2 linked regions of the Diceros bicornis minor genome follow. The protein of the gene in region 2 purifies or fractionates together with the protein of the main gene of each other region. This does not show direct contact. Links are inferred from orthologs where the notes say so. Each region holds a gene or a part of one and is shown on either strand. Other genes may lie near its edges.

Region 1 (7,862 bases), on a different chromosome or scaffold from region 2:
CTACAGTCATTCAGAACCCAGACTGCTGGGTGGAAGGGCCACCAGGATTGGTATGACCATTCAGGATAAGAAAGGAAGGATATGACAAAGAGTGGGGCAGTGTTCTGTTTGAGTCACAAACTGCCTCCAAACACAAAGTGTTGTATAAATGCTTTTGAGAAACGCAGCTCTGTTGGACGATACCCTACACTTACTACTTCCTAGCATAGTTCTTGGTGCCCAGCAACCCTAGGAGTAGGTGAAACTATCCCCATTATACAAGTGAGGCACTGCGGCACTAAGAACTTAGCTAAGACTGTACAACTAGTAGGGTGTGAAGCTGGGATTTGAACCCAGGCAGCCTGACACAAGAGTCCCTGTTTTAATCACTACATTAAGCTTCCTCTCGGTTAAAACAAGGGCATCGCCTCCTAATGTGAAGACCTGGAAGGGAACAAAGCCTGTTTAGAGACAAACACCAGATGAATTCATTAGAAAATCAATTTTGTCACCACATAGTTAAACCTTACATGTATCTTCACATAGCTGTCTTGTTGACTGGTGCAGCCCTGGAACCTAGTGCAGTGACGGGCACCTAGGAGACAATAAAATTTTGCTAAACGAAGTGAATGAATGAATAAAGTAGTTCAAAAGTGTGCATTACTAGGTGACGTGATGTTCGAGGCAGATAGAGAGGGAACTATCGTATATTGAATCCCTTCTGCATGTAGGACAGTGTGCTTACCAGAGTCATTCGATTTAGCCTGACTCTTAGCCTATAAAGTGTATGTTCAGTCCTAGGTCAGGAGGCCTTTCACCATCCAATATGCAAGTTACCAAGGAGCTTTTGGGTGACCCAGCACTCCTCTGTCCCAGGCCCAAGAGTTCAGGTGACCTAAGGGCTTCCTGGACACACCAAAGACGATCACCAAGTGCTTTTTGGTGTGGCTTTCATTTCTAAGGTTCCGTAACCCCTGCCCGTGGTACCTCCATCGGGCACACCTAACCTCTAGCTCCACCTCCTGCAATAGCCTCCCAGCCACACTCCCTGTGTCTGGTTCTGTTCCCCACCCCCTTCCATCTTACACAGCACTGTGAAAATCACCTTCCTGAAGCCCACCTCTGTGAGGAAGCCCCTGTACAGGGTCTGGAATGGGATGGCCTGGCTTTGAGGCTGGTGAGGCCAGGCAAGTCAGTTATCTTCCCTGCCCCCTCCTCACTGCCCATTTTCCCTACGTAATGCCTCAAGATTCTGTAATCCTTGAAGATGGGTTTTTGAGACATTAGTCACCCGTCTTCCAATTTGCCGGCTAATCTAATCTAATTTGACTTCCTTTCTCCATCTCTAACTTGTTGTGATTAATTGGCTCAGACTGCAGCTAGCAGAGCAATCCCGTTGCTTGGTAACAATAGGGCTTTATGAGGATTAAATAAAATAATGTATGCTAAGGTGGTAGCTTGCAAATGCTTGCCACATGATAAACAGTCAGTTTTTGCTTAATCTAAATGTTGGTCCCTCTAATCAAATACCTGCTGTAAAGCTGCAACAAACAAGCAAAACCCTCCAAACCAGACACCTGCTGTGGCTTCTTATTGTCTCCTAGGATAAAGTAAAAACTCTTTACAATGGCATTATTTTTTCAAGAGATTCTAAACATATCTATCCAAATTATATCACGTTGTTCCATTCCTACCATTTGCCCTGCACTCAGCTGAACTGAGCTCTTAACAGTTCCTGGGACATGCTTCTGTCTTCCCACCTTCATGCTTTTGCTTTTTCTGTATCCCCCTGAAATCTCCCCCACCCTCTGCCTCTACTGAAATCCTAGCCAGCCTTTACATTACACCTGCAAAGCCTCACCTGGTCTCCTGAGTCAGCAGTGACTTCTCTGATCTCCACAGTGCCCCCTTGTGGCACTGACAGCATTCTGCTTTTTAATAGCAGTTATTTGTATGTTTCATTTCTCCTGCAAGACTGTAACTTCTCAGGGGTTCTAATTGGGTCTTGTTTCTCTCTGACTCTCTAAAATTGCTCACTGAGTTTAGTGCACATATAAATATTTGAGAGGTAACTAAATGAAGTGACAGGTGTTAAGGTACAGAAATTCAGGGTCCAGGAGCCTGAGTAACCCTGGGTCCAGGTCTGGGGCTAGGGAGGACTGAATTCTGAAGGTCATCTTTTGGAGAGAGGCAGCGCAAGGGGGCACACGTAGACCGGAACAAAGCTAAAGCTGAGCCCAACTTGGTAGGTAACTAAAGTTCCCCCAGGGATCTGTGCCTGTCAGGGTGCTCCCAGGTCCTTCCCCTTCCTGGGGATAATTCTGTTTAAAAATTTTTTTAATAACTTTACTGAGATATAATTTACGTACCATACAATTCTTCCATTTAAAATGTACAGTTCAATGATTTTTTTTTTTTTTTTGCTGAGGAAGACTGGCCCTGGGCTAACATCCGTGCCCATCTTCCTCCACTTTATATGGGATGCCGCCACAGAATGGCTTGACAAGCGGTGCATCGATGCGCGCCCAGGATCCAAACCCCGGGCCGCCGCAGCAGAGCACACGCACTTAAACACTACGCCACCGGGCCGCCCAGGGAATTTTCCTTTTTTCCCTGCTTCACAGATTTGCCCACGGCCCAGGCTTGACTGTGAACACGAGTACCACTCCTACAGAACTGCAGAGCAGAAATCCCTTTTGTGTCTGGTGGGTGAACCACAGCATGGCCACGGAATGAAAGTCAGTCTTGAGGGTTCAGATTTAAATAAGCTTCAGTGAGCCCCACCTTGAATTAGACACTTCATTGGTGCTTTTAAACACACCACCACATTTAATCACAACAGTCCTATGAGGAAAATCTTATTGCCTCAATTTTAAGGATGACAGAATGACGCTCAGCCAGAGAGACCAATGAGCTACCTCAAAGTCACACAGTCACTGAGGAGCAGAGCTGCCACAAGGACTTGACTGCCCCTTGAAGGCCCAGTTAGATATACAACAACACAGTCAGGGCTGCAAACGCCACGCCTACAGGGGCCAGGCAGGTAACACCAAGGAGTGAAGGGGCCTGGTATCAGAAAATAGGAGCAGTGGCAGGGGCATGTGTATCCTCTAAGAGTGGCAGTTTCTGATTAGCACGGAGCAAGTACGCCAGGTAGTAATGAGGTTCTCATGTGGCCAGTGTTCTGATTTCTCCATAGATGCTGGAAATCTAGATGTTGAGTGAACCATCCCATTTTTAAATAAGGAGCCAAGCTGGAACAAAAATAAATAAATAAAAAACACCCCTGCAGGTCAAATTTGGCCCAGGAGACTGCTATTGAGGATGAATTCTTTGGCTTAATAACCAACCTCCCTTTCATTCAACTTTCAAAAGCAAACAGGCTATTAATAAGGTAACCATTCAGCTTTTAGTTGCCATTCCACAGGCGAAAAGTGGTTGACTGGGGTTGGCCCGGTGGCCTAATGGTTCAGTTTGCTGGCACTCTGCTTCGGTGGCTTGGGGTTCACCGGTTCAGATCCTGGGCGTGGACCTATGCACTGCTCATCAAGTTGTGCTGTGGCAGCGTCCCACATACAAAATGGAGGAAGATTGGCACAGATGTTAGCTCAGAGCCAATCTTCTTCACAAAAAAAAAAAAAGGTTGATTGGAGTGGGAGGGCAGGGGTGCCTCCTGGCCCCAGGGCTCTGTCGCTGGGGAAGAAATTAAGTCACTATCAATTAAGTCACTGTCTTCAAGAAGTTGGGCCTGCCAGAAGGGTGGCTACCTTCACCAAAGTTCCTGGGGCCATGGAGGGGGCCGTGAATGTGGCAAGACCTTGGGAGCAAATAGGGGGCCCCGGCCGTCCCAAAACAAGGGTCTTGAAAGCATGCGCTTTAGGTGGGACAGGTAGGGGACAGAGTTTTCTTTAAATTGTTAAATATATGAGAAACCCACAGGAAGATACCAGTCATTCTTGCTCTCTCTCTCTCTCTCTCACACACACACACACAGTTAAAGCACTTGCTGGTGCTTTGCTTTCCTCATCCAGAAATGGGGCTAATCAGCCCCTCCTTGCCTGCGTAGCTCACCGTTAGTAGAGTCAGAGGAAGAAGTGGGTAGAAAAGCGCTCGGGATAGAATAGGGGGCTAAGTAGGCCTATGGTTCATTGTGACAAGAGATTTTCACATATCGAGGTATATGGGGTTAACTTTGGGTTCAAAACTGATTTGGCTGGAACCAAAGAAGCCTGACTTGTGGCCTATCACACACACTTTGTACATCTGCTTTAAGCTTTAAAGAACGCACTCTCACGATAACAATGCGTACTTCCCCTCCCAGGCCCTGGTAACGCAGGTGTTACAGGTGTTAGTCCCTTTCCTGACATCAGGGTCCTGTCCACCCGCTACTTTGCAACTGACTTCTTTGAAACTTTGATAAATATGTACCCTTGGGGTTGTTTAATGTATGTTCTTTGTCTCAAAACGTACTGAAAACCATGCTTGTCCAGGACGCTTTCTTCCTTTGTAGAAAAGGCCTCCTGGGGTTATCATCCTCACGCTGGCTCAAGTAAAACTCCCCTTACTTCTCCTATACATAATAAGGTTATTGGCTATTTTGCATTGACAGTTACGATGTGACTATGCTCCCGGGGGCCAAAGTGCCCAGCGTGGCCAGAAACACACTGACACGATGCGGGGGGGTGGGGGTGCGCGGTCGGCTGCCCCAGGATTCAGGGACCTTGGTGCGACAGCCCCGCCGACCCCGCTCAGAAGGCCGCGGGGAACTGTCGCGCGCTCGCTGAGACACGCCCCGCCCACACTTCCGGCGCGCGACCCGGAAGCGGAAGGGAGCCCGTTTTTTCCCTCCTTCCGGTGCGTGTGTGCTGCGTCCGTCCGGCCCGGCAGGAGCGTAGAGCCGGAGCGGTTTGTAGCGTGCGGCGGGGAGAGTGGAGCTCTGAGACCCCGGAGCAGCCGCCGCCATGGCGGATGTGACCGCCCGTAGCCTGCAGTACGAGTACAAGGCGGTGCGTGTGGGCTCGGGGAGGACTCCGGTTAGGGAGCCCAGCGGGCAGCGGGAGGCTGAGGGAGTCTCAGTCTGAAGGCCTACAGGAGAACCGCCAAAGCGGAGGGGAAATCAGATCGGGCCGAAGCGGGGGTACACGAGGTGGGGGTGTATGAGTAACCCCGCCGGGGTCTGGGGCGGGCGGGATGGGCTAAGAGCTCTGCTAGCAGTGTTTGTTCCCTGTCCCCTCAGCCTTATACCCGCCCACTTCCACACGTCACCCCCAACATGCTCGCCGCTTTTCCCAGCTATGGGTTGTTATGGGCAGTGTTAGCAGCGAGGATCGTTCAGCTGATTTGACTGCCCTTTGCTCATGCGCGATTATACGATGCTATTTCTTCTTAAGGAAGACATCTTTTTATTCCGGCTAGTGATTATCAGCACTTAGTGGCTCCGATTCTTGCTTCTTTTGTTATCATCAGCTGGCATCCTTGTGATGTGTGAATTGTCCCTGCTTATGTCAGAGCTTCGATAATCTTGTGATCTTTTCAGAACTCGAATCTTGTCCTCCAAGCTGACCGCTCTCTCATTGACCGGACCCGCCGGGATGAACCCACAGGAGAGGTGCTGTCCCTGGTGGGGAAGCTGGAGGGCACCCGGATGGGAGATAAGGCTCAACGGACCAAACCACAGATGCAGGAGGAAAGAAGAGCCAAGTGAGTACCAAGGGGAAAATGACTCTTCTTCAGATCCAAAGTCCATCTTCCCTTGAGCATTTGAGCAGTGTTTTGCTTGGTGCAAGAGGAGACATCAGTGGCATTAAAACAACTGAGTAAAGGTACAAACAGAACATGAGATTTAAAAGGTTCTTTGGCTTTATCAAGCGTACCTAAAGTGGAAAACAACTTTTAGACCTTTTTCTAACATGTGTTTCTGGTCCACAGAGACATCTTAATTTTCTTCCCGATATTTTCAAGACCCTTGCTGTTCCTTTGTCTCAGTAACTCTTTTTTTCTTCAATTACTAATTTCCCACCCCTACTTCTTTCCTCTCCTGTTATCCACTTTCTACTTTTGTTATTAAACTGACATTAAAGCATCCATAGCGTGAATGACAGGTGGGTTTTTTTGTTTGCTTTTTTTAACTTTTTGGGAGATTTATTTCAAAACTTAATTTTTGAACTTTATCTCACCATTATCTTTTGATTCTGATCATCTCTGTGTCTTCCTCCTTTCCCATGATGAAGTCTCAAAAATTTGTAGGCACAATTTTGATTAAAGTAGTTATGTTTGAAATGAGTTAATACATCATTTGTTGTCCACTTTGCAGAGTATGACTTCTTTTCCAGTTTTGTTATAATTTGTTGGGAATCAATGGTAGTAGATTCCTTTGGAGCTTCAGTTTCTCTGGCTAGAAAATGTGTCAAGAGTGAAAAACTAATCAAAATCCGATTGTATAATATTGTCATATGAAGTAAAAAGAGTTGTCTTTTTTATTTTTATTTTGTTTATTTATTTATTTTTAATTTTTATTTATTTATTTTTTACCCCAAAGCCCCAGTAGATAGTTGTATGTCATAGCTGCACAGCCTTCTAGTTGCTGTATGTGGGACGCGGCCTCAGCATGGCCGGAGAAGCGGTGTGTCGGTGTGCGCCTGGGATCCGAACCCGGGTCGCCAGCAGCGGAGCGCACGCACTTAACCACCAAGCCACGGGGCTGGCCCTACTTATTTTTTTTTTATTGAGGTAACATTGGTAAGGGTTGTCTTTTTTATTTTTATTTTGTTTGTTATTTATTTTTTTTATTGAGGTAACATTGGTAAGGGTTGTCTTTTTTAAATGAATGAGGAAGATGTCTCATTGTAATGTATAGTGCATCTAGTGAGAGAATGACAGAGGATTCCCTTTCTGTTACTGTGTTTCCATTAAAAAATACTCCTGCTAGTGACTAAGGCCAAAGGGAGTTATTTGCTGAGGTACAGATTCATGTTTTTAAATGCTACCTGTGTGCCATGAAGCTGAGAAGAAGAGGAGAATGGGCTTGATTTCGTCTTACCTTTGGGACAGAAGGTTCTGTCTGTTCAACATCACACTATGTGTCCATTAGGCGAAGAAAGCGTGATGAGGACCGTCATGACATCAACAAGATGAAGGGTTATACTCTGCTCTCGGAGGGCATTGATGAGATGGTGGGCATCATCTATAAGCCCAAGACTAAAGAGACCCGAGAGACCTATGAGGTGCTGCTCAGTTTCATCCAGGCTGCCCTCGGGGACCAGGTGAGACAGCCAGAGGGTGAAACCACGTTTTTGGAGAGGGAGAGAGTCACAACTGGGAGGCACCGGAAGAGCCTTGTCTGTGGATTTTCCTGTGTGAGCCATACCCATTTGCAGAAGTGGCTGTTTACTGAGCACTTAACTTTATGTGGGGTAGAGCTTTGTGTGTCTCCTCTCTTTCAGTCTTCACATCAGCTCTGTGACTAGGTGCTATTAATATTCATTTTCTGTTTTACAGAAGAAAAATGTGAGGCAAAGAATAGTTAAGTAATTTTCCCAAGTCACAGACGTAGTATTTGGCAGAGCTGGGATGTGAGCCCAGGTAGTCTGTACCCAGAATCTGTGCTCTTAACCATTATACATGTGTAATTAGATTAAGGACCTTTATGAATCTCTGAGAGGCTCTGGTGAGGGGGATGCTAGAGGAGGTGAGGACAAAGAATTGCCAAAAGTTGACAGACTAGAAGAAGACTGCGGAGTGTCTCTACCACCTGGAGAAATGTGGCCGACTGTTGTGGAAGCTGTGTCCTTCTGCTTCCTAAGACCACCTACCTAGTCTTTTTTAAAACAGAAGGCTCGTTCTTCAATGGTGTGACTCTTGGTGGCATTTTTTATTAACATGAA
Region 2 (7,306 bases):
TGTAGAATGTAAAACCCAAGCCTGTGCCTTGTGGATGCAGGGTCTAGATGTAAATTGCCGGATTGGAATATTGATCCCAAACTGAGAAATGAGCTCAAAAAGACTCTTGGACCTCTGGGGCGAGACAAAAAGCAAATTCTCTTTGGGAACGCTTCTTCACCTCAGGGCACAGGGGACTCCCCAGAAATAACACCCATGAAGATGAGTACCTGAGAAAAAACTACAATTGGATCCACCACAAGGAAGTGTCAGTGGGTGACACCAGAGCCCATTTAGATGATTAACCATGGTTAGAATTACAGTATGAATTACCAGCATTTACAGTGCGTGGAATTCCATTTTGTAGTAACTTGACACCCAGACATTAGCTTTTCCCAGCACTAGCTGAGGAATTTCTAAATGGGATGGAGGAGCTTAGAGGTGGCAATCTGGTACATGGGGCGGGGCTAGAGGACTTGTCTTGAAACTGTATTTGCAAAGCAGCACGGTGTTTCTACTTAAATTCCATCTGTTTATTTGGGGAGATGATGAAGATTATGGAGGCGGCTAACCCCTGCCCCTAGCCGTGCCTAGGTGTTGTCACAGGCTTTTGACCCTAATTTTAACTCTTTTCTGTACAGTTTCTTGATGGTAAAAAGCTGGTCAACAGGGAAACTAGAATTTTGATTATTTTCAAAAGAGATGAGGGATGGGGAAACGGACAATGCATTCTCCTGACATCTCTTGTTCCCCCCTTTTAAGCTGGATGGACCTCCAGCCTCTTTTTCCTGGGCCAGAGTTTCCCAAATTGTGTTTCCTGCATATCTATAGATATTATAAGAAAAAAGGTTTCCAGGGTCAAATTCGTTTGGAAATGCTATATTAAAAAGGGAGTGTATGAGTTTTCTAGGGCTGCCGTAACAAAGTACCACAGACTGGGTGGCTTAAAACAAGAGAAATTTATTCTCTTACGGTTCTAGGGGCTAGAAGTCTGAAATCAAGGTGTCAGCAAGGTTGGTTCCTTCCTGGGGGCTCAAAGAGAGAATATATTCCACGCCTCTCTCTCTTAGCCTCTGGTGTTGCCAACAATCCTTGGCATTCCTTGGCTTGTAGATGCATCACTCCAATCTCTGCCTCCTTCTTAGTAAAGTATTCTCCCTGTGTGTCCACATCTCTTATCCTCTTCTTATAAGAACACCAGTCACTGGATTTAGAGCCCACCCTACTTCAGTATGACCTCATCTTAACTTGATTACATCTGCAAGGACTCTGTTTCCAAATAAAGTCATATTTACAGGTACCAGGGATTAGGACTTGAACATATCTGTTTAGGGGACACAGTTTAACCCACAACAGGGAGAAATAGATTTCTTCATCTTACAATTTGTTAGGCTTCAATTTTGGCGATTCTGTAAACGAGAGTGGACAGAGCATGCTGATTTTTTCAAATTCAAGTAATCATGAAAAACTTATTTTTAATGGAGTGTCCCATGTGACCAGTGTTCTGAGGAACATATTTGGGTGGGTGGGGAAGAAGTGGAGCCTCTCTCTCATTAAGCCTCTGTTTAGCAATGACCACTCACTTTCCTAAAGGTTTACAGTGACTGTACAGTCTGGTTGCCTGATGGTGGCTGCTCCTTATGGCTGCTCTGGCCAGAGATCCTTGGCAGCCACTGGGGTGGAGATTGCCTCTTTCTGGGGGCCCTGAGGCCTGGCTAGTGAGGCTGAGGTAATATGGTGGGGTAGGCTAGCCAATCCAGGCCATGCTGGAGGAGAGCCTTTGGTGTTTGTGGCTATGGGGCTCCGGTTTTAGACGTCCCAGAACTGGCATGATGTTGCATTTTCTGAAGCTTGAAATGGGATATTGAGTCTGCGAGTTCAAGGGCGCATTGGGGAACATTTGACGGAGCTGCTCTGTCCCAACGGGCAAGTTGTAAAACGCATGCCCCTAGGGGGTGCAATTCACATTGTAGACATGGTAGATCAAATTTTCTTGTAGTAAGAGTGGCCTGTTCTCAAAACATCGGTATTTTGTGACAATTTTCCAGCAGTTGTCAATAAAGTCCCCTGAGGAAGGGGCACCTTTTTCTAGTTGGTACAAAGGTGACATATGGGGTAAAGGTGGTCCTGAATGGGAAGGAGAAGCCATCACAATGGGCTCTTGGAATGTTAGGTCTGAAATGGCTCTTGAGAGAGGAGTGGTCCAACTCTGGATTTGCTAAGAATCTTGCTTACAAATAATAGAAACCCAACTCCAACTGGCTAAAGCCAAAGGAGAACTAATCATAAGAACAGGGATGCACCTACAACTAAGGAACATACTGGATCCAGGGACTCTGGCACAGTCAGGACCTACCTCTGTCTCTCTGTTCTCTCTTCTCTGCTCTTCTTAATGCATCTGGGACCTACTTTCCTTCCTTCTTAGTTTACGTTGTACGAAACCTGGTGGCAGACAACTCCTGGGAGTCACATGGTAGCGATTCATTGGCCAGCAGAGAGATTGGCCTCTTCTAGGTTCCAGTGTCAAAATCCTGGGGAGGAGACTTAATTGACTCAGCTTTGATCAGATCAATCAAATAGCCTGTGTGTGTGTGTGTGTGTGTGTGTGTGTGTGTGTGTGAAAGAGAGAGAGAGAGAGAGAGAGAGAGAGAGAGAGAGGGAGGGAGGGAGGGAAAGAGGGAGGGAGAGAGAGAGAGAGGGAGGGAGGGAGGGAAAGAGGGAGGGAGAGAGAGAGAGAGACTGTAACCACAGCAACTGAGTGGATGTTGGGAGTGGGACCGGTAATGGTCACACATCCTACAGAGGAGCATTGCAAACAGAGGTCCAGAGACAGAAAATGGCTTGTCACCAGTCGCATAGTCAGTTGACAGCAGAGATGGGAGTGGACCGAGATCTTATATGGCTAAGTCTGTGTGTTCTTCATAATCCAATACTGCCTCCTTTCAACAAAGTGGTGATTTTATTGATACAATTTTGCATTTCAAGGTAAAAATTTTTACTAAAATCTAATCAGAAAATTCTGTAGCTCTTCCAGAAGAGGCAAATGGAGAAATGAAGAACTATAAAGAGAAAGACATTATATAAATACTCAGGGTGTTTCCCAGTCCATTAACTAAATACTTGCATACCTTCCAGGGCTGGGGCCAAAGAGATGTGTTTAAACAGTGAAGGAGACGGAGTAATTGGGAGGTGCTTCACAATCCCTACTTCATTGGGTTTTAGGTATGCCTTAAGTTATTTGCCCTTCAAATTTGTGAGGTGGGTATTGTTAACTCCATTTTTCAGATGAGGATGCTGACATTCAGCAAGATTATTACCCAAGATGATGAGAGAGCCAAGATTTCAACTCAACCCGAGTTTGCCCAATACCAGCGCGGTAACTCTTTATTATTAATCCACAAAGACTGAATAGTGATGAATGAAACATTCTGACATGACATTTCTGCAGGTTTCTGGGACAACCGCTGATCACCTGGGGTTGCCCTTCTTTTTTTTTTTTTTTGAGGAAGAGTGGCCCTTTGCTAACATTTGTTGCCAGTCTTCCTCTTTTTTCTTTTTTCTCCCCAAAGCCCCAGTACATAGTTGTGTATCATAGTCGTAGAGTTGTAGCTCTTCTATGTGGGACACTGCCTCAGCACGCCTTGGTGAGTGGTGAGTATGTCCGCGCCCGGGATCTGAACTAGCGAACCCTGGACTGCTGAAGCGGAACTCCAGAACTCAACCGCTGCACCACCGGGCTGGCCCGGCGTTGCCCTTCTTGTAATAACGGCTGCCACTTTTTTGAGCAGTTGTTATGTATCAGATACTGTGCTAGGTTTGTGATCGCATTTAATCCTTAGGACAACCTATGAGGATGGTACTACTGTATTATTATCTATTTTACAGGATAGGAAGTTTAGGCTTAAGCTATTGCCTTTTCCTGAGTATTCTATGAATAAATTCCTATTAGTTAAATGCCTAATATAGTGCTAAGTTAATAAATTAACAAAACTCTTGACCAATTGGCCCGATACTCCACACGCGTGATGTATCCACTCTCTGCCACTAGGTGACGTCACGACCAACCCCACCACTATATTCCCTGCCAAGAGCCACCGCCGATATCTCGCGAGAGCCGTGGTTTCCTCCAAACTGTTTTGGATATACGCGCGGCGTAGGACACTTTAGTCAGGGTAGTTTCATGGTTTTCAGTCAATCTTCCTAGACTAAGGCTTTAACAAGGTACTTACTGCCTTTCAGCCACCCGAGTTCTCGCGAGACTTGCTACTCTGCTTCCCTCCACCCCCTTGCGCCTGCGCAGATCTCTTCAAAGCAGAAGGTCGCGCTTGGAGGAAGTGGTGGCTGTGGGTTCCGCGTCCGCAGCGCCATTACTAGTTTTCTGAAGGTCCTCTCGGCCGCTTGCCGAGACACCCCGCCACCAAGATGCCTCGAATTATGATCAAGGGAGGCGTGTGGAGGAATACCGAGGTAAGTTACCTTTTCCCGCCGTCCGCTGCCCTCCGCCCCCTCTGGCAGCTTGTGCGCAGGCGCGCGGAGCTCGGGGAGGCGTGGAGGATGTGCCCAGTGGGGTCGGCCGCTGGGGCAGAGCGGGGAGTATCCTCGGGGCCGTTATGTGGTGCCAGGCCCGTTGTTATCTGAGCACGTCTGGGGGCGGACCGTGGTTTAACCCCTGACTACCTGCCAAGCACTTGTTAGGCCCGTCGTGAACATTTGTTAAGTGAGGACGCGCCCCCCGCCCTGGAGGAACTCAGTGTGGAGGGGGAGATAGGACATCCGCGAGAGTTGGTTTTCTGGGACACCCCCGTCCCTCAGCCCGGGCACCATGTCTCTCTCTGACACTAAAAAATAAACAAGTGCTGTGGCCACAAGTTTGTTGCTTCATTGACTTGCTTGTAGAGGGGAAGCAGCTGGAGTGCCAGGTTCAAAGAGCCCATTTCTGCCCGCATCTCCGGTTATCTGTTATCAAGGCATAGCTTGTCTCTCCTCCCGACAGATCCTGTCGCTTCTTGTCTTTCCGCCTCAGCCTGGATAGAAGCCAGATAGGACAGACTGCCTACAGTAGTCTCTTTGCTTCCAGAAATGTAGCGGATAATGCTAGTGGTGAGCCAAAGGGCAGAAGAGAGGGAGTAAAATAGAAATAAGATTTTAATGCCGTTTGTGTTTACAGTGCGCGGTATTTGTCGGTTTCTGGAGCACATCATATCTTTTCCTGCCTCTTCCCCCTTGGCGTCTTTCTGACCATCCTTCAAAACCCAATTCAGAAACTCTTCTTCGAATTTTTGCCCATTCACCCTGTAAAAATTAACTGCACCCTCAGGGGTCCATGGCACCTCTTTCATCTAGTTGTATTTTGCTTTGTCCTTTTGCAAGAATCACATTCTTCTGTGTGATGCTGGTAGGTTTCTTTTTTTTTTTTTTAGACTTTATTTATTTATTTATTTTTTTTGTGAGGAAGATCAGCCCTGAGCTAACATCCATGCTAATCCTCCTCTTTTTGCTGAGGAAGACCGGCTCTGAGCTAACATCTATTGCCAATCCTCCTCCTTTTTTTCCCCCCAAAGCCCCAGTAGATAGTTGTATGTCATAGTTGCACATCCTTGTAGTTGCTGTATGTGGGACGCGGCCTCAGCATGGCCCGAGAAGCAGTGCCTTGGTGCGCGCCTGGGATCTGAACCCCGGGCCGCCAGTAGCGGAGCGCACGCGCTTAAACGCTAAGCCACGGGGCCGGCCTGCTGGTAAGTTTCTGATAACCTCTCACAGCCTCAGTTTTCTCATTTTTCTAATAGGGATGATAATACTACTTACTCTCTTGAGGATTAAGTGAGTCAGTACATTTGGAACATTTAGAACAGAGTCTGCTGTGTAGTAGTCTTTCAGTAAGTGCTAGTTGCTATTTCTTTCCCCCAGCAGACAGCATTGTAATTGTTATCCCTAGAACCTAGATCAGTAACTAATATGAAGTAGGTTGCTTGGCAGATGTTTGTGGAATGAATCTAGTAGGATAGATAACTGGTATGTATACCTAGTTGAAGATGTGTTTGAGTATAGCAGTACTGCAACAGAGTTACAAATAAACTCTGTGACAGCCTTGCCTCAGAGCTTGCAGAGCAGGAAACAGGCTGTTTAAATTGGAGAAGAGATGCCTTCTGGGAGAGAGACAGATGTACAAAAACAAATAACAGCAGGATTCCTATGCAGTGGCCAAAGCCCTGTAGTCTTTTTAAATCTCTGATGATGGGGGTGGAGGTGGAGTGGCCCATGTATGTATGAGCCATGTAGCTCGAGTTCAATGTGGAAAAACGCCTAAAAGTAAAATGCCGCAAGTGGATTCATCTCTGGCACTGTTATCCCTGGTGTCTGTGGCTTAGCTTGCTGGGCTTCCCTGGAAATGGTGAATTCTATATTGGAGTGGGTGCCCTGGTGAAATAGTATCTAGAGACTGGGGGAGGCTGGAGGCATAACTGACCCATGAGGTAAGAACTGACTTAATTCTTAGGTTAGATCTGAGATGTGGATTTTTGGGTCAGAGTAAGAGTTATGGGACTGGAGAGAAAATGCCATTTGTAAACTGGAGACAGGAAGCCTGGATTGGAGAGTGGATTCACCAGGGTCTTGACTTGCTTCTTGAGGGCTGGATGTGGCCTATTCGATTCTTTTTCCCCAAGTACCCAAGACCCGGTACAAGGTAGGTGTTCAGGAAATGTTTTCTGAATGAATGAATAAGTGAATGAGCTGTACTCTTTTGAAGAGAATGACAGCTACACATTGGAGAATACTTTTTGTTAATCTCTATCAAATAGGGTCTCTCAGATTGGGCTGTACCCACTCCCAATTTATTGGGGGAGTGTTGTGTGTAAGGGAGGGTAGGATATCCTAAGGGATTTCCCCCTAATTTCTTGCATTTGGCTGATTCTGGCTTGCTAGAATGAGGTTTTTGTACTTTCTGTTTAAACCTAGGCGGGGTGTGTGTGTGAGTGTGTGTGTGTTTCTCTCTCTTTCTCCCTAGCAACCCTGTTAGAGTTAATTTAAATTTTGTCTTTTCTTGCTTGGAGTTTTGTGATTGAATATACTGTTTTTCTTTGACAATTTTTTAGGATGAAATTCTGAAAGCAGCGGTAATGAAATATGGGAAAAACCAGTGGTCTAGGATTGCCTCATTGCTGCATAGAAAATCAGCAAAGCAGTGCAAAGCCAGATGGTATGTACCAGTTAATGAGTGGAAAACAGTAAATGACCTTCATTATGATGAACAAAATGTCAGTTCTTTGAACCTTACCAAAGAAAGCAGGCATTGTGATATAACAGAAAGTATGGAGTGGGAGATGGG

The links. Proteins that work in one complex are often made in the same cells at the same time.
Region 1: the proteins of CDC5L (region 2) and SNRNP200 fractionate together in Homo sapiens (co-fractionation; 4 studies listed by BioGRID and IntAct, with this or other methods). This does not show direct contact. The link is inferred for Diceros bicornis minor from reciprocal best matches to the Homo sapiens genes CDC5L and SNRNP200.

What each region holds. Positions count from the first base shown.
Region 1 is NC_080779.1:16,206,445-16,214,306, forward strand, and holds the start of SNRNP200 (U5 small nuclear ribonucleoprotein 200 kDa helicase), read left to right. Parts: upstream 1-4,860; 5' UTR 4,861-4,940; coding exon 4,941-4,985; intron 4,986-5,515; coding exon 5,516-5,679; intron 5,680-7,069; coding exon 7,070-7,241; intron 7,242-7,862. UniProt on the Homo sapiens protein: Catalyzes the ATP-dependent unwinding of U4/U6 RNA duplices, an essential step in the assembly of a catalytically active spliceosome. Plays a role in pre-mRNA splicing as a core component of precatalytic, catalytic and postcatalytic spliceosomal complexes.
Region 2 is NC_080753.1:21,502,993-21,510,298, reverse strand, and holds the start of CDC5L (cell division cycle 5-like protein), read left to right. Parts: upstream 1-4,290; 5' UTR 4,291-4,401; coding exon 4,402-4,446; intron 4,447-7,073; coding exon 7,074-7,177; intron 7,178-7,306.